Linked DNA regions of Notamacropus eugenii. The main gene of each other region encodes a partner of the protein of the gene in region 2 in a complex. Links are inferred from orthologs where the notes say so. Each region holds a gene or a part of one and is shown on either strand. Other genes may lie near its edges.

Region 1 (9,827 bases), on a different chromosome or scaffold from region 2:
GCTGTTCTATAGTTGTGTATGAAATTCATTTTTAGCCTTCTACTTTATTGTTTCCATTAGTCTCTTCATTGAGTCTAAAGTTTCCTGAGTAATCTGTCATGATAATTTTGTTCCTTCTTTGCCACTGTTTACGACTTCAAATTCTTTTTCATGTCTAATAGCATTTTGAGAATTGTGTCAAATAACGAGAGAGAACAGCTTTGCTTTTGTGTACCTAGTGAGAAGGCTTTTAGTTGTCTCTTCGTTTCAAACTATGCTAGGTTTTGGCTGTAAATACTTTTATGCATATTTTAAAATGGTCTTTTCCTGCCTATGCTTATAAAAGTTTTTGGCATTTTTGTTGTCAGAAACTTTTTCTGCATCTTTTGCTATAATTGTGTGCTTTTGCTTTTAACATGACTTTTTAGGTTAATTGCTTTCCTAATTTTGAACCATACTTACACCCTGGCATAAATCCATGATTACCAGCCAAAAATTTTCTGGATATATACTGTCTTTTTGTCAGAATTCCATTTAGACTTTTTGCTTAAATAGTCATTAGTGATAGTGGCAATAGTTACCTTACTTTGTTTTATTCTACTCTGGGTTAGATACTAGGATCATACTTCTCTCACAAAAGTAGGTTGGAGTGATAAACCCAAGAACATAACTACTTGGAGAAGGAATCTCTATTTCACAAAAAATACAGGAATAAATTGGGCAAAAAAACCAGGTTTAGATGAACACATCTAAAACAATATACCATAATTAAGTTCCAAATGGATTATGGCCTAAAGAATAAACATAAAAAAGGTCATATCATTTAAAAAAATGGAGGAAGATGGAAGTAAATGTCAAGCAAGAAACAGTTAACAAGCGAAACAATTTCAATCACATGAAATAGAAAAGTTTCTGCATCAACAAAATCAATGAAACTAGGATATAGTAAACTGTTGATTAGAAAGGAAAAACATCCTTGCATCAATTATATCTGAAATTAACTAATACAAAGGTATAAAACCAAAATGCAATCCCTGTTAGAAAAGTGGTCAAAGTATATGAACAAACATTTCTCAAAAAAGCATTTGTAAGCTATTAACAACTATATGAAAGATCTCCAAATTACTAATAATTAAAAGGTAAATCGAAACAATTCTGAGGTTTTATCTCATAGTCAGCAAATTGCCAAAGATGACAAACGACAGACCTATTTCATGTTGGAGGGGCTATGGGATCACATACATACTAACAATGTTGATGGAGCCATGAAATGGTATAACCATCATGGAAAACAATTTTGAATTATGTGAAAAGGGATAAATTATCCATATCATTTGGCCTATAATAAGAGAAACTAGTTAAGACTTGTAAGAATTGATGAACAGAGAAGTAATTATAACCAGGAAAAACACGATACAAAAGATAAAATTAAATTCTACCCTATGTAATTATAATTATTAATCTTTGGTCCTGAAGAAGAGGAGAGTGGTAGGGGAATGTGGCTATGGAATGTTGCACACACTGTAACAACAGTTCTCAAATTTTAACATTCTTAAAAATTATTGAGAACAAATAACCTGTTTATGTTCAATATTGATATTTACCACAGTAGAAATGAAAACTGATGAATTTTAAAATATTTAATTCATTAAGAAAACAAACTTATCACATGCTAATTAAACTTTTGTGGGAAAAATTCCATATTTTCCAAAAGAAAAAATTGTTAAGGATAATGTAATTATTTTATATATTTCTGCAAATCTCTTTAATGCCTGGTTTAATAGAGGATACTGGATTGTTTGCTGCTTCTGTGAATGCTTCTGCATTCACACTTTTGAGATGTGTTGTTTGCACTGAATTATGTGAAGAAAAACCAGCCTTACAGAGACAAGTAATTGGAAAAGGGAAAAGTATTTTAAATGGGAAATAAGGGGAAAAAAGGAAATGAAACAGTAACATTATTATAGGTTTGACTTCTAGGTTCTCCTAAAAGGGTCTCAGGTATCCTGGGGAGTCCCTGGACCACACCTCGGGAGAAGTGCTGGGCTATATAAAATATGGTTGATGTGTTTGTTTTGCTTAAACAGCTGCCCCTTTTGTTATAAAGGAAAGGTCAATGTGGGAGGGGGATGAAATTGACAAATAATAACAAAAGAGAACAATCAAAAGAACAAGTGTACGTGGATTTGCCCCATCAATTAGATACGGCAATTAATTAGGACCATCAAGCTGCACGTGGTTGAAAGAGTGCTAGTGGCTTGATGTTTATGATCTCTCTTCTTAAAATAAGAATTAAATAATTCTTTCAATTTCAATTCTCTTGGCATTCAATACATTCCATAATATTACTACAAACTATCTTTTCACCCTCCTTTCTCCCCATATTTTAGATAAAAAGGCCATTCCCCAAACACTGGATATGTTCACTGCTCCTAACCCTTCCTATTATCTTTCTACCTATCCTACCCATCTCCTCCTAACAAAATATTACCCTTCATTCAGTAACCAGGATCAAAGCCCATCTCCACAGAAACCTTCCTTGTTTGATATCCAAACCCTAAACTGTTTGAGATCAGCACTTTGCACCAGGTCTTGTAGTATTTATCACTCCCAAGCTTATAACTTTAGCAAATTTGATCACTTTTGCTTAGAGGCTTAAAGACTATTGGTTTATCCAATTCTAAATGCATAATGGAACTTAACCGGTCTGAATAGATTTAAGGGATAAATAATACAGACTTGTTATTTTTATAATAAAGATTTTTCTTTTTCTATCATAAGATACTAAAAGCATTTTTTAACTATACTCTTTCCTCATACCAGCGCTGTCTGCAGAGCTTTCTGGAGGTTCTTCATTTTATAGTCAACCCAGTTATATTTTATATTCCTTCTATTAGCCAAATTTGTTCTAAAGCATTCCTCATGAATTTTTTTTGGACTTTTAACACAAAGCAGCAATTCTTTTTACCACGAATTACAGTAAAAAACCATGCTAATACCAAATATGAGGAAACATATGGCTACCTAAGTAGAATTTAGGAAACTCATTTTCACTCTGAATTATCTCCCCTCCCTCAAAAAATCTACAATTCTAGGTAATCTTATTCATTCTAGCATTGGTACTTCAATTTTTCAACCTCCCCAAATATAATCTAATATGACAAATTCTAAGACAACATTTTGTCTCCAAATGTTTCTTCAATTTCTACCTCCCTTAAAATCCAACTCCATCGTCCTCCTGAAACTAACGGTGGTAAAAGGACCTCACAATAACGTTGTGCATTTCTCCAATGTCTTTAAAATGCAGTTTTGAACATTACCACCTGACTGCTAAACAAGCAAGCCTCTAGGCTCAAGTCTGAATCCAGAGCCGTACCCCATTCTGACACCCCATGCAGAGTGCCTGTCAGAGTAGGTGCTCTTGAAATGTTTATATAATACCATAGTAGTTTATGCCGTTGAACAATTAAAAGACCTATATTTCCCTTTAAAAGGCATCTCAAAATTCTTTAAAAACAAATCAAGATTACTTAATCTAGTCATGAAATGCGAAAGCAAATGTTTTTCACAAGAAAGCTAATTGAATTTCTCTGATTGCCATTTTAAATTCTAATCAGACTAAAAAACAGCAGATGACTCCAATGTGCGTGACAGGAGCAAGTTGTTGTCAGGGGCACCTTTTGAATTAGTTTGCTCTATTAACACAAGAGATATTTAAAATGATCAATAAAAGTGTGAAGCACTGAAAATATTTCCCAGAAAGACATATTATCCACGGTCCAAGTTATTCTTTTCGCTCCAACCTCGCAAGGACTCAATAACCGCCTATTTGCAGGCACCATGCGTACAGGATTCCTTTATACACACAGATCCTCTACAATTTAAAACTGATGCAGAGTAAGAGACTCTTACAAACAGAAGCTCACTTGATTCGCAAACTCTTAAGTTCTACATCCAACCCTCACTTGGGGAAGGCACGGGTAATAAAATATGAAGAGCGGGAATACAGAAAGGGGGAAGGGGGAGTAGAAGGAAAGTACAGCCCTAAGGAAAACAAGCATTCACACAGTTCAGAAGTAGACGAGAGAGCCGCGGCCCCCACGCGTGGAAGGGGCACCCCCCAACTCCAAGGGCAGCTCCGTGGCTGCTCTCCATAAACACATGCCATTACTCATAAGACGGCAGATTTTGGAGGGAAAACAGGCTGAGCAGTCGACGTCGCCTCGGGGTCGGGGTGGGGGTGGGGTGGGCAGCAGACTCATCCCCAGCACCCTCCGGAGCCTGCCGGATTGGAGCGGGTGCCCTCCGCGGCCTCGCCCAGCTCCCCCGGGACCGGAGCGCGCTCGCCTCTGGCGGGCAGCTACAGGCTCTCGAGGTCGCCCACGTTGCGGAAGGGGGATTCCGAGCCGTCCCCGCGGGCGTGTGAACCGCGAGGGGTGGAAGGGTGGGGGGGTCAGTCAGCCACAATGCGGACACCGGGGGGCCGGGCCCAGTCCCCGGAGACGGGAGAAGGGCGGAATCACAAGGGTCAGGGGAAGCTCCGGTTCGGCCCTCCCAGCCTAGGGTTATTATCTGGGGTAGGGGACAGCCGCCGGGGCCTCTCTCACCATCGTCCGGAGCTCCGCCGCTGCCGCCGCCACAGCCACTGCACACGAGCTGAGCCGCAACCCCGCTAACAGCCAATCCCCGCGAGAAGAGCCACCGGAAGTCGGCGGCGCAACGCGAGAGCACCCCCCCCCAGGAGACCAGAGACCCATACCTTCAAAGGAGCCGTTGACGCCTGGCTGGCCATCTTTGATGAGGGGGGAAAGACTACCGGGGAGCTTTCGGCTTCGGTGCGGATCCTGTTCTCTCCACGACGCTGAATATTAGGCTCCTATGATCAGACACCCATTCCAGGGGATCAGCTGCTCACGGAGCGACAGAGATCCAGTCCCGCAAGCCCAACTCAAAGATGGCGGCTGGCTGGGTCGAAGAGAACCAAAAGTAGGTTGTGTCTGGGAGAGGACGGTTGTGACCCGGAAGCAACGTTTCAGAGGAGGAGGAGGGGGCGGGGAGGGCAATGCCGAGATCCGGAAGTGGATGTGTGGAGGAGGTGCCACTTGGCGGCAATGGCTGCGATGGCGGCGGCTGGGGAGGCTCCGGGCCGAGGCCGGGCAGCTAGGGGGACCCCTGGGTATAGGCCAGAGACTGAGCACTGTACACGCTTCTGCTGAATCCTCCCCCGAGGTTCCCGTTAGAGAACTGCGGCCTCCGTTCCTCAGCCCTCTAGACACGGAAGAGAGTGGGCCGGTGCTGGTGGGCTGCTCTGGGCCCTGGGGGTGACAGGGGGAGGTCACTGACGGGCGGACTCAGGGGACAGGCTCGCTCGCCTCCCCTGCCTCTTGAGGCAGTGTATCCCCCGCCCCCCATTCCGTGTCCCGCAGCTTTAGGGCCGTGACTTTACGATTGCCAGTAGTCTCACACAGCATCATTCCCCCCCATGGACTTCTCCCCTTGGTAACAGCAGAAATCTTGTGCTCTTGTCATCTGGGGATAAGGCCCCCCAAAGCCCTCGCTGGTCCTGTTACCAGGAAGCAGCAGTTCTCCCTGGTAGACAAGGAAGAAGTGACTAACGTAAACCTGCTGTCGGCTGGAGCCCGAAAGACCTGACCGGAGCAGCTGATACTCCCCAAGCCTGCTCTTCGGGAGCCACGAACGTGTCTAAATAACTAAGCACCCTCTGAAACCCCGGGTGGGAGGGGGGAACAGTAGTTGGATGTCCTTTGGGGTAACGAAAGGACAAGAAAATGGATGATTTCCTCTCCATTAGTCTTCTGTCGCTGGCCATGCTGGTAGGATGTTACGTGGCTGGAATCATCCCCTTGGCTGTTAATTTCTCCGAGGTAAGACGTTCTCAATTCTCTCTCAGTTTTCAAGATAGCTGGTGTAAAGCAGAATTGGTACGGGCAGATCCCCAAACCAGCAGAACCAGAGGCCTTTTCCCTTGCTGGACTAACTTAAAATACCAGAAGAGTTTAACATGAAACCTTCCTACTCCCAAATCCCTAACTAACATAAAACTATCACCAAGAAACTTTTAAATTGATCATTGGTTTGATTCTTTTTAAATGGTAATTGGATTGATTCTAGTTAAAATCAGTTTGTGTCGTTGCTTTGAAAAACAATGCCAGCTTGATTTTTGTAGCTTTTCTCAACTATGTTTCTGAAAAAAATCTCAGAAATAGAACTTTTATTTTAAGTGTGCTCCTAATGGGAAAGGGATCGAGATGCTGGTATTTAAAAAGTAGATTTGGAAACATTTGTTTTCGAAACATTTTTTCTTATACCGTAATATTTAGGCAAATGTAAAGTTTATTTTTCAGGCCTTGAGCATGCTGAGAAGATAGACGTAGCATAGATTCTTTAAATGCCATGTATGTTATTCACAAAATGCAAAACCTACAGAGATAAGAATATACTGGCCTCTTGGTTGGTCAGAGTTGATGAGATTTTGAGTTTAGGTCTTTTTTTTTCATTCTGAAAACTTTTATTGATGATCTACTTTAGGCAGAATCAGTGTGCCAGAAATACAAGAGAAAAGGTGTAAGGTATTTGGAAGTATGAAGTTCCAGTTGTGTGCTAGATACTGTAAATACAGATATAAGGTAATGCATAATCCCATCCTTGAAGAAGCATTAGATGTGGAGATAAGAACTCATGGAATAATCAAACAAGACAGTATGTTATAAAGTAGTACATTGAGTAGTACGAAGTGGTATAAAAGTTTAGGAGCCCTAGTTTTTATGGCTAGAGGGAAGAGATGGGCCTTTACTTGAGCTTGCCTTTGTTGGATGGGAAGAGGAATACATTTCAGGTAGAAAGAATAACGAGCAAAGAATGGGTCAGAGGAAATTAAAGTTAACCTTTTTGAGGCAACATAAAGGCACTAGCCTGACTGAAAAAGGAGGTTGTCATTTCTCTCCTCTTTCACTCTGCTTCCATACTGCTCAACCTCTAGGAATTTTAGTGAATCAGTATTATTGGGAGTGACACCTGTATGGTCCCACATGAATTCAGGTGAAAAGCCTGTTTTTATTAGAAGGCCAAAAGCTACTACCAATGAAGCACCATACCCTCTACCCCTCATCAGGCCAAAAACTATGTATCATTTGTGCAGTGCTATAAAATTGTATCCCAAAGTGTGATTGTCTAAGGCAGGTTCCCAACCCCTTGTCTAAGGTAAGGATTCTTAATCTGGGTTCCATAGTCCCCCAAGGAATCCATAGACAGATTTAAGAATGTCTGTGAATTTTAAAAATACATGTTTTTTAAACTGTTCAATACAGTTGATTTCCTTTGTAATGTATTTTATTTCATCCATTAAAAAAAAATCTAAAGTCTAAGGGAATATGTAAAAAGACTGTACTACACAGAGCAAAAGGCCTTCAAGTTGTCTAAAACTTGTACTTAGATATCATTTCATTTAGCCATTCATTTATAATTGAATTCAGCATTAAAGTTTTCTTTTCCACAACATAGTTAAAGCTTTCTTAAACTCAATATTTTCCTGAATTATCAGTTAAATTGTTTACATTGTACTACACTGGTGAGAAATTTCATTTATATTACTTAACACTAAAAATAAATGTTTAGGTTTTATGTTTGTAAAGTTGTAATGTCAATCCGAATAATAGAAACAGTGAGAGTACCTTTTTCCAGTGATGGCTTAATTTTATTTTCCTTCCCAAGCACTATGATGATCCTTAATGTCTAATTATTATTACGCACAATAGAAATGAATACATTTCAAATTGTTAAAAGGAAACACATCAGTTAGATGTAACAGACAAATGTAACCCGACATTTTCAATATTAACAGACCATCTCTCAGAAGTTGTACAACTCTTCTTGGGAAAATGATCCTATAAGTATAAAATGAATGCACTGGGAAACTTGAGGGGACCAAAAATGTAAAAATAAAATGGTATGGTGCATTCATTTGTGTATGGGAAATATTTACTGAAATTCTTAATTTAAGGACAGCTAGGTGGTGAAGTGGATAGAGCACTGGCCCTGGATTTGATCCTGTTTGCCTCAGTTCCTCATCTGTAAAATGAGCTAGAGAAGGAAAAATCAGTTCAATATTTCTGCCAAGAAAAATCCCAAATGGGGTCATAAAGAGTTGGACACAACTAAACAACTGAACAAACAGTGCATTCATTTGTGTGTGGGAAATACTTACTGAAATTCTTTATACAGTGATTTGGTACTCTAATAATAGTAACTTGATAGACTCATTTTCATGACTTTGCTATCTCTTGGTTCAGCTACCTGATTGCTCTTAGTCTCCTTTGTTGGTTCATCATACATATCCCATCCCTACCTTTTGGTATACTTCAAAACTTTGTCCTGGGCCCCATTCTCTAGGTAACTTTATCAGATTCTATGGGTTCATTTGTCTCCATGAAGATGACTTCATATCTCTGTGTGTGTATTAGCATATCTCCAATTGGTGAGCAAAATATTTTCTCCTTCCATCTACTTGTGTTCCAAACTTTCATATTTCTGTTGGGAGCATTCCTCAGTCACCCAAATTCCCAAACCTTCAAGTCAACCCACTCTAATTTACTCCAGTTATAATCAGTTGTCAAGTCTTACCTGTTTAACCATCTCTCACTTGTCCCCTTCTCTGTTCATACAACTTCTACCCTAGTTCAGACCTTTATCACCTCTCCCCTAGACCACTGCAATATCTTCCTGGTTGATCTCTCCCTGCCTCCCTTTTTCCAGTTCATTGTCTACACACTTGCCAAGGTGATATTCCTAAAGCGCTAGGTCTGATCTCATTACTCTCCTGCTCGGTAAACTCCAGTGACTCCCTCCCTGTTCCCTTTAATATCAAATACAAGCTCCCCTATTTGGCATTTAAAACCCTTCATAACTTGGCTCCAAAGTTCCAACCTACCTTCCCAAGATAATTACAAAATCTCAAAAATCTTAGAGTATGAAGGGATCTCAGATGGCATTTATTCTGACCCATGCCTAAATAGAAATCTTCCATAATGTCTCTGATAAGCAGTAATCTAGCCCCTGCTTAAAGAATTCTCCTGATGATGAAGCTACTATCCCTTAATGCAACCCATCTCACTTTCGATCAGTTGTGATTATTATTTTTCTTTCTGTCTGCCTGAAATCTGTGACTTTCATCTTGTATTCATTGTTCTGCCCCTCACTAAATCTAGGCCCCAAAATGAAATACCATCTGCCTCCTCTTTCTCCTTCATTAAAAATAATTTTTTAAAAATCTTATGTTAATGCTGATTTCTTTATATTTTCCCTATAGGGAAAATCAACTCTAGGATAAGTATTAGTGAGAAAATGGAAGGGAATAAAAGTTATAAATATAAAAGTTATGTTATGTAAGTTCCATGGTGTGTTGTGGCTGTACCATCATTAAGAATTCAGTCAAACCACCTCCAATCCAAGCATAGGCATTTATTGAGGATTGATGCCTCTCATGAAGTGGGCTAAGTTCCACAAGGAACCAGCAACTTTGTAAGAAAATGCAGCAAATTTATAGTCTAATGATGCTGATTACACAACAGAAATTATGAATATTGAAAAGGCAGGAATGATTTATTAAGGGATTAGGCAATGGTTGAGTGGTAAAACATCCTGGTCGTGCTGCCCTCTGATTGTGGTCCTGTCTGGTCAGGATGAATAGTTAGGTACTGTGGTCCTGTCTTGGGCTAAATGGATGATGTGATTGTGGTTGACTACAAGAACACACCTGTTTAAATATGTGAATTGGATCTGGGTTACTGAGTCTGGGGGCCTGTGATGTGGTTAAAGCCAGATTGTGTGGT
Region 2 (10,467 bases):
TAGACTACTACAATAGTTGGGGGGGGGGGGTCTGACTGCTGGGAGCCTCTTAGCTGTTAAATTAATCCCTAATACCCCCAAGATCTTCTTCTGTGGCACTGAGTGGCCCTCTCACACCTTGCCAGCCTTCTGACAGTGACCCTGTACTGCCCACAAGCTAGCCCATCCCCAGACTCTGGCATCACTAGCTGTCAGCAGTGCCTCAACTAGGACCTCATCTTCTCTGAGAAGCTTTTCTCAGTTCCCTTTCTTACTAGGACCTTCCCTCTGCGGATTTTCTCTGGATGGATCCTATCTGGAGCTTGTGTCCACAGTTATCTGAATGCTGCCTCCCCCACTGGACTGGGAGCTTCCTGAGTGTCTGCTGCCTTGCTTTGAATTCCCAATGCTTAGCAGTTTCTGGAACTCAAGTTGGCACTTGCGTGAAAAGTACATTTTTTCTAAGTGATGCCTATATGTATTCAATAGGATTTAAATTAAGTGAGTTTCTAAGTCAATGAAATACATTTGCCTATATCTCCTGGATAAATTTCTAAAGTAGGGAGCCCGATAGAGCAGGATATAACCTGGAGTCAGGAAGACCAGAGTTCAAATCCGGTCACACTACCTACGGGTGACCCAGGGCAAGCCCCTTAACCTAGCTGCTTCAGTCTCCTCTTCTGTAAAATGGGGATCATGATAGTACTGAGGATTAAATGAAATAATATCTGTAAAAATGCTTAGCATACAATTCCTGGAATACAGTAAGTGCTATATGAATGTAATGCATGGCTTAGTTCAAGGTCATGTTGAAGCTGATCCATCTCCATTTCAGAATATCCTGGATACACTCTGCTTCTCAGAAAGTATATTGATATATGCATTTGAGATCATCTTCTCTTCCTTGGGGACAAGATCTCTAGGTTTCCTGGGAACAAAAAGTTGGTGGATATAATACAACCTGATAAAGATGACAAGATCTTACAATCTCACCTGGATTTCTTCTGACAAGGGTTTCTGGTACAATCGTGAATGAAAAAGTGAGTTTTATCACAGTGAAAATCACTCTTTTTCCAGTTACTGATCAACATTAATCTTTTTTCTAGTCATAGTACTCCAGTCTTTGTATTGTCTTTTCTAAGACAAACATTTTTTGCCTCGGTTAGCAGCTATTTATACTGGTCTTCTTGATGTTCTTCTAACTTCAAGAAACCTATGCTACAGTCACACTATAGAGGCTTCAAAAAATATATACATCCCAGTCCCTAGAAAGGTCCTTTGCTTGTTTTCTGAAAATCAGGTTTTACCACAATGTCAGTTTTTAGCACTTTTTTGTTTTCAACTGGGTTAGGTAAATGATTCTTGAAATGTTTGCCTTTCCCACACCAACAGCTGCCATGATATCTCTTACAGTCATGGAAGTGTGCTCCTTGAGAGCTGTAACTCCTGCATGTTTCCAGAGTTAACAGCCTTTCTTTAAAAACCACAGAATTAAAAACACAAGAGGAATGAAAAACATGTGTATGGCATGAAATACAGCACTCAACTGACAGAAAACTCAGAGTGGGAAATCAGCTCAATCTAGTTTCATCTGATCAAAAGCAGCCTTTCTGAATCAGCTTAGTGTCAGGAGAAGCAGTGGCAAGCTCCCTGCTGACACAAAATGAAGCCCTCAACATTATTGCTTATACCAAGTAATTCCCAACCCACCCTAAGAATGTGTGGGGGAGGCTTATCGCCAGGTTAGCTATCAGGCAGGCAATGATTGCTTTTTTTCTCCATGGGCAATTCAAAAAGACTATTTCAGGGGCTGCAATTCTGGATCAGCACACAGATCTTTTCCAAGTGAGATGTCAATCAAGCAAGAGTTCTGAACTACCTGAATCCCTCTACCTGGGCCAAAGACAAATCTGTGAAAGCTACACCTCATTAGCACCAAAGTGAGATTCAGATGAACACAAACCCCATTCATGTCAGTAATTTGGAAGCTGTTATTCTAAATGAGAAACACCCTTCCAAAGCTTTCCCATAGATCAAGGCTCCCTCCCTTACAGCCTTTGCCTCTTCAATAACCACACAGCATCTTCTCTGAGCCTAGCAATACAAACAACAGAACCTTTTACAAATCCATGGCTGTTCTCCATCATTAGAGATGTAAGACTAGCTTTTATACATCCAGTAGCACCCCATACAGAGAGGTTTCTACATGGGAATGGTCAAATGGGCCCAGTGCAGGGCCAATCCAACCCAAGCAGCAGCTTAACACAAATGCCAAAAGGTACAAACATCAAACCTGTTTTGACGACTTTAAAATGATGTTTTATTATCAGTGGGCTAAAAGGTCTTTTTATTCTGCTTAGCCTATGTCAGAACCAATGATCCTAATTCTTTTGGATGGTCCAGAGACTGTTTGGTCTCTGCAGCAGGCCTTCCCTAATTTAGACAGACATAGTTTTCATTAAAGGAGCTCAGAAAGAAAAAGGCTTTATTTCTTTTGTACAGTCTGGACTGACAAGATTTGGTGCTAAAACCCGATCCCTCACCTTATGTGCATGAAGCAAAACAAACTAATACTGTAAACTTCATTAAACAGACCCAAAGGTATCCATTAGCATTGGCACTGCAATTTTAGATATCAGTGTTGAAGTAGAATGTAAAAAGAATACTGGCCTTCCGAATCAGGAGACCTGGGCTCTAGTCTCTTCTGCCCTTAAGAGGCGAATATCCTCCAAAAGGCTCTCTACAATAGGTGTCTCCACTTTCTGTCCTCTTACTCCCTTCTTAACCTCCTACATCCCAGCTTCTAAATCTTATCATTCTACTGAAGCTGCTCTCTCCAAAGTTCCTAATGATCTCTTAGTTGCCAAATCCAACAGCCTTTTCTCCATGACCTCTATGATCACTCCCTGATACTCTCTTCTCTCAGGGTTCTTCTCCTAACTATCCGCACATCTGTCTGTCTCACACCTAAGCACAGGTACCTCCAGGATTCTGTCCTGAACGCTCTTTCTCTTCTACTTCAGTAGGTGGGCTTGTGAACTCCCATGGACTTAAGTATCATCTCTATGCTGACGATTCCTGCCCCAACATTCTGCTGACCTCCAACGGCGGAAGGCAACATCATCCTTCCAAACCTAGGAGCCATCCTGAATTCCTCTCTAGCTCTTCATTCCACACCCTATAATATGGTGCCAAGGCCTGTCAGTTTCACTTTTGGGACACCCCTCTCCCCTGACTGCCCCCCCTCATTTCTGGATCACCGCACAGCTGCTGGGGAGAACGCCTGCCTCAAGTTTCTCCCTACTCCAGTCCGTCCTCCATTCACCCACCTAAGCGCAACTTAGTGCAACCAACTCCAACGTTTCCCTGCTGCCTCCGGAGCAAATGTAAACCGCTCGTTTTGGCATTCAAAGCCCTTCCCCAGCTGGCCCCTGCTTTCTCCACTTTCTTACACCCTCCCCCCCACCCTGTAGTCTTCAATCCAGGGAGGCCAGACCCCCAGCTATCTCAAACAAGACCCTCCAACTTTCAGCTCCGGTCCTTCTCTCTGGCTGTCCCTCATGCTTGGAACATTAAGTTCCAACTAACTTCTCACTTTCTACAGGAAGCCTTCCCCAAACCATCTAACTCCGGGCCTTTCCCTGTTTGTTTCCTGCACGTAGCTTGTTTGTACCTCTCTGTTTTTTTGCTGTCTGCCCCATTAGATTGCGAGCTCCTGGGGGGTTAGGGTTGACCATCTGCTGCCTCTTCTGTATCTCCAGGGCTTAGCACAGAGGCCGGCATACAGAAGGGGCTTAATCAATGTTTACTGACTGACCAAGAATCTGAGCTCCACCACTCACTCTAAAATACGGAGGGGACACAGGGCTGCTCCGGGGAGTGTCGGAGCGCCCTTTTCGTTGGGGGGCCTACCAAGGCACAGACGAGGGCCCGGGCACGAGGGGCCAAGCGGACCCCCGGGACGGGGCTTCAGCGTTTGGAGGGCAGAAAGAACGCGAGAGAGGCTTCAAAAGGGGCCGTGCAACCGCAAACAGCCCCGGACGTTCCGGCGGCCGCCTCGGGCCGGGCCGGGCACGGAGCACGGGGTCGGGGGGCCCCGGGCAGCCCCAGGCTCCCCCCGCCCCCTCTCGTGGAGGAACCAAGTTTGGGGCAGAAGAACTTCTCCCCGCCCGAGTCCGCTCCGGCAGGGCCGGAGGAGGGGGAGGGGAGCCCGCAGGTTCGGGGGGCCCGGCCCCCGGCCCCTCCCCCACCAGCCACAACTTCTCCATGGACTCAGGGCGGGAGAGCGGGACAAAGACCGGCCTGCTCCCGGCCCCCGCGGGACCCCCGCGACCCCCGCCCCCGCCCCGGCCGCCCCTTGGGGCAGGAAGCCCCCGCAGCCCCGGCTGGAGAAATCCATTGAAATACAAATCAACTCAAAGGACGCGGATGAAAGGGAGGAGGGAGGGGGCGGGGCGGGGGTGCGAAGGGGCAGCGGAGAGGAAGGGGAGGGTCGGGAGGCAGGCCGGAGGGGGAGGGGCACCCCGGGGCAGGGCGGAGGGGGCAGTGGCGGGACCCACAAAGGGGGCCCCCCCGCCCCCATTCATTGGCCCCGGGCTCCCGCAGTGGGGGAGGGGCGTGGGCCCCGGGGCGCGGCCGCCCCTCCCCCTCCCCGGCTCCCCTCCGACTCCCCGCGCGCTCGCGCTCCCGCCTCTCCCCGCCCCGGCCTCGAGCTCCGCTCCCGCCGCTCCCGCCGCCCACCTGAGCAGGAGCCGCTCCGCTCCGGCCGCCGCCGCCTCGCTCCTTCCGCTCCTTCCTCTCCTCAGCCCGTCCGCCCGTCCGCCCGTCCGCCCGTCCGTCCGTCCGTCGTTCCGTCCGTCCCCCCCCCCCCCCAGTCCGTCCGTCAGGGAACGCGGGGCACGAGCGCTGCCGCCGCCATCTTTAAACCGCCAGCCAGGCTGAGGCGGGGCTCGCTCGAGCCTCCGGGGAGACGCACCGGGCCCCCAGGGCCGACTCCGCCAATCGCAAGCCGCTGTCGCGAGCCGCCGCCCCTCATTGGTCCCTTCGGGGACGTGGCAGGCCGCGTAGCCAATGGGACTGTGGGGGAGCCGGGCGCGGGTTTGCTGCAGAGGGGGCGGGGCCGGAGCTGAAGGGAGGGGGGGGGGACTGGTGGACCGTTGGGCGGGGGGAGGGGGAGGGAGGAGGACGCGTGGAGGAGGAGGGGGATGGGCAGAAAAGATGGGAGAGAGGGAGGGAACCAGGGAAGGGAAGGGGGGAAGGGGGGAAGGGGGGAAGGGGGAAAGGGGGGAAGGGAGGGAAGGGGAAGGAAAGGGCGGGGAGGAGACGGGAAAGAAGGTGAAGAAGCCGCTGAGCGGGGAGAGGGAGGCAAGGAGACCAGTGACTGTGGAGTCAAGGGGACCCGAGTTCAAATTCTGCCGCCAACACTTTCTGGGGAACCCCGGGCAAGTCACGTGACGGCTCTGGGCCTCAGTTTCCCCTTCTGTAAAACAAAGGGGTTAGACCTCTCCGAGGTCCCTCCGTCTCCAAGGCAGTGTCTCCCAGACACCAGCTCGACAAGTCATTTCACCCCCTGCCTCAGTTTCCTTAACTGTACAATGGGGATAATGGCCCTGCTTTGCAGGGTGGTAGGGAGGCTCATGTTAGTGCAGTGCCTGGTATTCAGTAGGTGCTTAAATGCTCATCCCAGCCGCCCCAGAGCCACTGCTCTAAGCCACTGCCCAGCCTACGGGGCCCAGGAGGGCTTTGGGGCCCTGCTCCTGGGGATCAATAATCCACAGAAATCTGAAGGCCCTGAGTTTGAAGTGACCTTGGCCAAGCCCCTTGCCTGCCATCAGCAGCAGTTTTGTCCTCAGTAAAATGGGGGTCGCCCTGGATGGCCCCAGCGCCAGGTCTTGGCCAAGCCCTTTGCCTCCCATCAGCAGCAGTTTTGTCCTCAGTAAAATGGGGGTCGCCCTGGATGGCCCCAGCGCCAGGTCTTGGCCAAGCCCCTTGCCTCCCATCAGCAGCAGTTTTGTCCTCAGTAAAATGGGGGTCGCCCTGGATGGCCCCAACGCCAGGTCTAGGTTCCCATGGCCCGGGATGGTTTCTCAGGACACTCTTGGCTCCCTCCATGATGCTGTGGCCTTAGTTTCTCTGGCCTTTCTCCACTAACATCCCTGTGGCTTTCATCCCATTTCGTAGGTGGGCAAACTAAGTCTAGACACAGGTTTCTGACTGGAACCTGTTTATTCTGAGTTAGGGAAATTCCTTCTTCTCACTCCCCACTCCACCACCCCCGTAGATCTCTTTTCCACTTCTCTCCTTCCTCCCATCTCAGTCCCTGCTCCTTTCTCCTCCCTCTTCTCTCTTCCATCCCCCTTTTCTTCCCTCCCTCCTAAAATTCCCATATTTCAAATAAGCATCCCTAGCTAGAGCCCAGGGTCCTAGTGGATGGGGGCTTAATAATCCTCGTACTGCCTCCCTCAGAAGAAAAAGGAAAGTAGGTGACGGACTCTGTTGGGATATTGTGGCTACCATTTCTAAGCAATCTGAGAAGATTCAGAAACTTGTTGGAGTGGAAGGTAGTGCCTCATCATCCTTCATCCCAGGCAATCCCTTGGGCCAGGTGCCTCACCACCCACCCGGTGCCCCCTGGCTTTGCCTCCAAGGCCTACCTGGCAGGGTGGTAACAACCCTCATCCTTTGATTCAGAGGACCAGTGACCTCACAGGGTGACTTCTGTTTGAATGGGATTTAAGTGAGATGGAGCTGCACAGTCTTCAGCCTCACTCTCTCTTCCCAAGTCATCCAAGTCCAAGATGATGACTATGGCCTGGATACAGTGGATGACCTTGGGATCTTTGATGTCTGACCAAGCTCTAAGTGCTCCACGGCACCTACTTTGGCCGCCTATATGGCCACTGGAACAGATTTTTCTCATCCACCCATTCCCCTGGGAAGTCTTCATGTGCTTGAGGTGGACACCTCCAACTCCCTGACATCTGGTGAAGCCTGTGGATGGCCATTCCTCTGGATAACATTTTCAAATGAATAAAATAAAATATATAGATTTACAAAGGCAACCAAAGGTCACAGAAAATAAAGGTGTATTTTTTTCATTCAATTTTTTGAGTTCCCTAAAATCTATCTGTGGACCCCAGAAGGCATCTGCAACACTGCTCATACAGTCCATGTAGGATTTAGGGAAGGGCATGGGGGGATGGAAAGAGTGCTGGATTTGGAGTCAGAGAGCCTGCTATCTGGAGCTCAGTTTCCTCATCTGTAGAATCAGGAGTTTGGACCCAGCCACTAAGGTCCTTGACAACTCTCACTCTGTGATCCTGAGATCCTTTTAAGTTAGGCCTAGAACATTCCAGGTTTTGGTCCTTGGGCTGAAGTAGGAGCTCGGACCCACCTAGTTAATGATATGGAATCAATTCCTAACAACCTTTCATCAGTTCTCTATTGAAGAACCTCCTCAGTGGCCTCCCTGCCTCCAGTCTCCCCTCTCTCCCTCCTGTTCTTCACTGTCCTCCCTGTATAAACCTCCTCTTCCTCCTCTTAACGCCTCCAGCCATCCTGTGGCTGCCTGATCTCAAAGCACCTTCTAGACATTTCATGGGAGCCTCACAAACAGCCTCATAAACTGGGGCTTTCTTTTATCTCCATTTTGCAGGTGAGTGGCCTGCTTTGGGTCATATAACTCAGTATCTGACCTGGTTCTATGTGAAATCCTTCTTAGACACCCCCCCCCCCCCCAACCTGCTAGCGCCTTCTCCCTCGAAATGATCTTTTATTTAATTCTGTATATACCTGCATAGGAGCTGTTAGCTGACCTCTTGTCCTGGAGCCCAGCCTGCTCCATCATTTCTCTGGGTTCTAGGGTAACCCTGAGGTGTTAGTAGGTATTACTTCTCTAATACCATTCACCCCATCCCCTACCAGGTATGTTCCTTCCACTGTTAGGTGCCAGTGACTCAATTCCATTTATCCTCCAGATAAATGAGCTTTTAGGAGGGGATATCTACTTCAAATATATAGCAATGACAAAAATATTCCCAATGCCTCAGTGATATACTTTTCCCTATACCACCTCAGTCTTTAGGAAGTGTGTTTAAATGTAACTTGGTTCCTGTCTGACATTAGTGCCACCAAGTTCACAGCAGGAAGAGGCACCACTGGTCAGTGAGTCCTTCTCCAGGGGTTGAAGGTCCCTTCTTATTCCTATTCTGAGTTGGCTACAAAATCCAGGTGCTGGAAAGCTCAGAGCCTTGCTCTCTGTCATTTTTGAACTTACAAGGTCAGAGGCTCCAACCCCTTTGCCTGAAAAAAGGATGGATCAAAGATTAGGATTTGTTTCTCAAGGGCACCTGGCCTAGATGGAGAGAGGCCCCAAGGTCTCTTCTCTTACACTCTTGTCTCTCCAAATAATGGTCTACAAAGGAGTCGAATCAAGGCAATGCAGCTAAACAGACAGGGCCAAGGCTCTCAGGCCTTTTGAAGAATGCGACTCATGCCAGCTACCTAGCCAGTTGAAAAAGGTTTCGCCTTACTGAGTAGTTTGCAGACCAGATCCAATTCCATGTCTACACATGCTCAAGTTTCTATTATATTTGTGTCATCATGATTGTCTATGTGGGAAATCTGCACTAGTCAATCGTGCTGATGATACACAATGCACATGAACCAATCCCCCTCCAAACCTCCTTCCTACTACCCCTAAATATACAAGTCATTCTCCTAGACTGCCATAATATCAGTGTCTACACATCCAGGCTGAGACTGGTGAGCTCCACTCCCTGCTCCCGGGCTTCCCCTTCCTTCAGTTCTCTCTTAGGCAATCTCCAAAGTCATCAACATCTCTTAATTGCCAGATCTGATCATCTTCATCCTCATTCACCTTCGTGTAGCACTTGACTCAGGTGATCACTTTCTCCTCTCTGGGTTGTCCTAACTCTTCTGTCTCACTCTTCCTCCCACCTGGTTGACTAGTCTTTCTGAATCCCCATTGCTGTAACTGGGGCTCTTCTCTTTCTCTCTATACTCTCTCCCATGAACTTTGTTATCATCTCTGTAATCAATCCCCAAATCAATTCTTGGGAGCCTCAGTCTCTCTCCTGAGCATCAGTCCCAAATCACCCACTGCCTATTGGACATTTTGAACTGGGTTTACCAAGTGTATCTAGAATGCAACATTCCCCAAACAATTAATTAGCTTGCCCTTGCCTCCCTCCCACCCAGCCCTTCCTCAGCCTTCCCTATTACCACCATCTTTCCCCAATCTCCCAAGCTATCAATCTTGGCCTCATCCTTAGCTCTCTCCTCCCCTTCATTGGCTCTGCTGCCAAGTCTTGTCAAATTCTGTTTCTACATCTCTCCCTCCTGCTCCATTCTCCTAATCCCACAACTACCACCAAGGTTGTGAACCCAGGTGTTGGAAAGATTGGTGGTTTCTTCAACAGTAACATGGAAATGTAGAGGAAGGGCAGGTTTGGGGTGGGGGAGGAAAGATGCATTCTGTTTTGCACATGTTATATTTGAGATGCCTATGGGATATTTAGTCCAAGAAATCCACAAGATAGTTGGTGATGGGGGACTGGGGCTCAGAAGAAAGGCTGGGGCTGGATCTATAGATTAGAATCTTCTGCATAGAGATGATAGCTAAACCATGGGTTTGCTGATGAGATCACCAAGGAAGGGAGCATAGGAAGAAAATACAGCCTAAAAGGCATCTCCACAGTTGGGAGAGTAGCCTGCATGAAAGATTCAGGCAGGGAGACTGAGAAGCAGACAGATAGGAGGTCCAGAGGAGAGTAAAAGCTCAGAGAGAAAAGAAAGGCTTAGAAAGAGTGAGTGAGTGGGCAACTATGTCAAAGTCTGCAGGAAGGCTGACAAAGAGGATTGAGAAAAGGCCTTTAGATTTAGTCATTGAGAGATTAGTGGTGACACTGATGAGTGACAGACTGGGAAGCCAGATTCCAAAGGTTTGAGAAAGAATTGCTGAATGTAGACAACTTTTCCAAGGAAATTAGCTGAGGAGAGAAGAGATTTAGCAGGAGAGCTAACCTTCCAAGCCTGGACCATAAAACTCCCTGCAGTAGGAGCCATCCATGGTCCTGAGGTCAGAAAACCTTTTCTCAAGTCTTGGCTGGGGTGACCTTGTCTAAACCCTATTCTGAGTCCCCATCTGTAAAATGGGGCTCCTGATGGCATCTGCTGCTTCTGCCGGGCTAGACAGACCTACCAGCGTGTAGCTAGAAAAGCAGGCCGCAGCTCCCTCTAGGCCTCCGTTTTGGCTCCCAGAATTGAGGTTCAGGTAGGTTCTCCTGCCCAAAGAGGACATACTCAGAAGTACTGAGGCTCCTCAGATGGTGTCACCTAGAGGGACCAGGGGCAGGGGGCCTGAGGTTCTGGATCTTACAGCTGGAAGAGAGAGGAGGGTCTGAGTGGGGGGGCTCAGATGGCGAGTTGGTCCTTTGTCCTCTCCCCCCACCTTGAGTCCCCCTCTCC

What was found. Proteins that work in one complex are often made in the same cells at the same time.
Region 1: the proteins of DGCR8 (region 2) and ERH are in contact, whole or in part, in a crystal structure (PDB 7CNC), measured with the Homo sapiens proteins. The link is inferred for Notamacropus eugenii from reciprocal best matches to the Homo sapiens genes DGCR8 and ERH. Residues at the interface, in NP_073557.3 of Homo sapiens: Lys107, Phe108, Ser109, Pro110, Asp111, Leu112, Leu114, Leu115; in NP_004441.1 of Homo sapiens: Val8, Pro10, Thr11, Thr18, Tyr19, Ala20, Glu27, Lys34, Met35, His39, Arg42, Met43, Phe60, Leu64.

Annotation. Positions count from the first base shown.
Region 1 is NC_092872.1:310,045,259-310,055,085, reverse strand, and holds the start of ERH (enhancer of rudimentary homolog), read right to left. Parts: upstream 4,858-9,827; 5' UTR 4,772-4,857; coding exon 4,739-4,771; intron 4,719-4,738; exon of another isoform or gene 4,590-4,718; coding exon of another isoform or gene 4,587-4,589; intron 4,374-4,586; exon of another isoform or gene 4,145-4,373; intron 1-4,144. Other genes in the region: SLC39A9 (zinc transporter ZIP9), read left to right, coding at 4,858-4,965. UniProt on the Homo sapiens protein: May have a role in the cell cycle.
Region 2 is NC_092875.1:10,520,579-10,531,045, forward strand, and holds the start of DGCR8 (microprocessor complex subunit DGCR8), read right to left. Parts: upstream 4,825-10,467; 5' UTR 4,720-4,824; intron 1-4,719.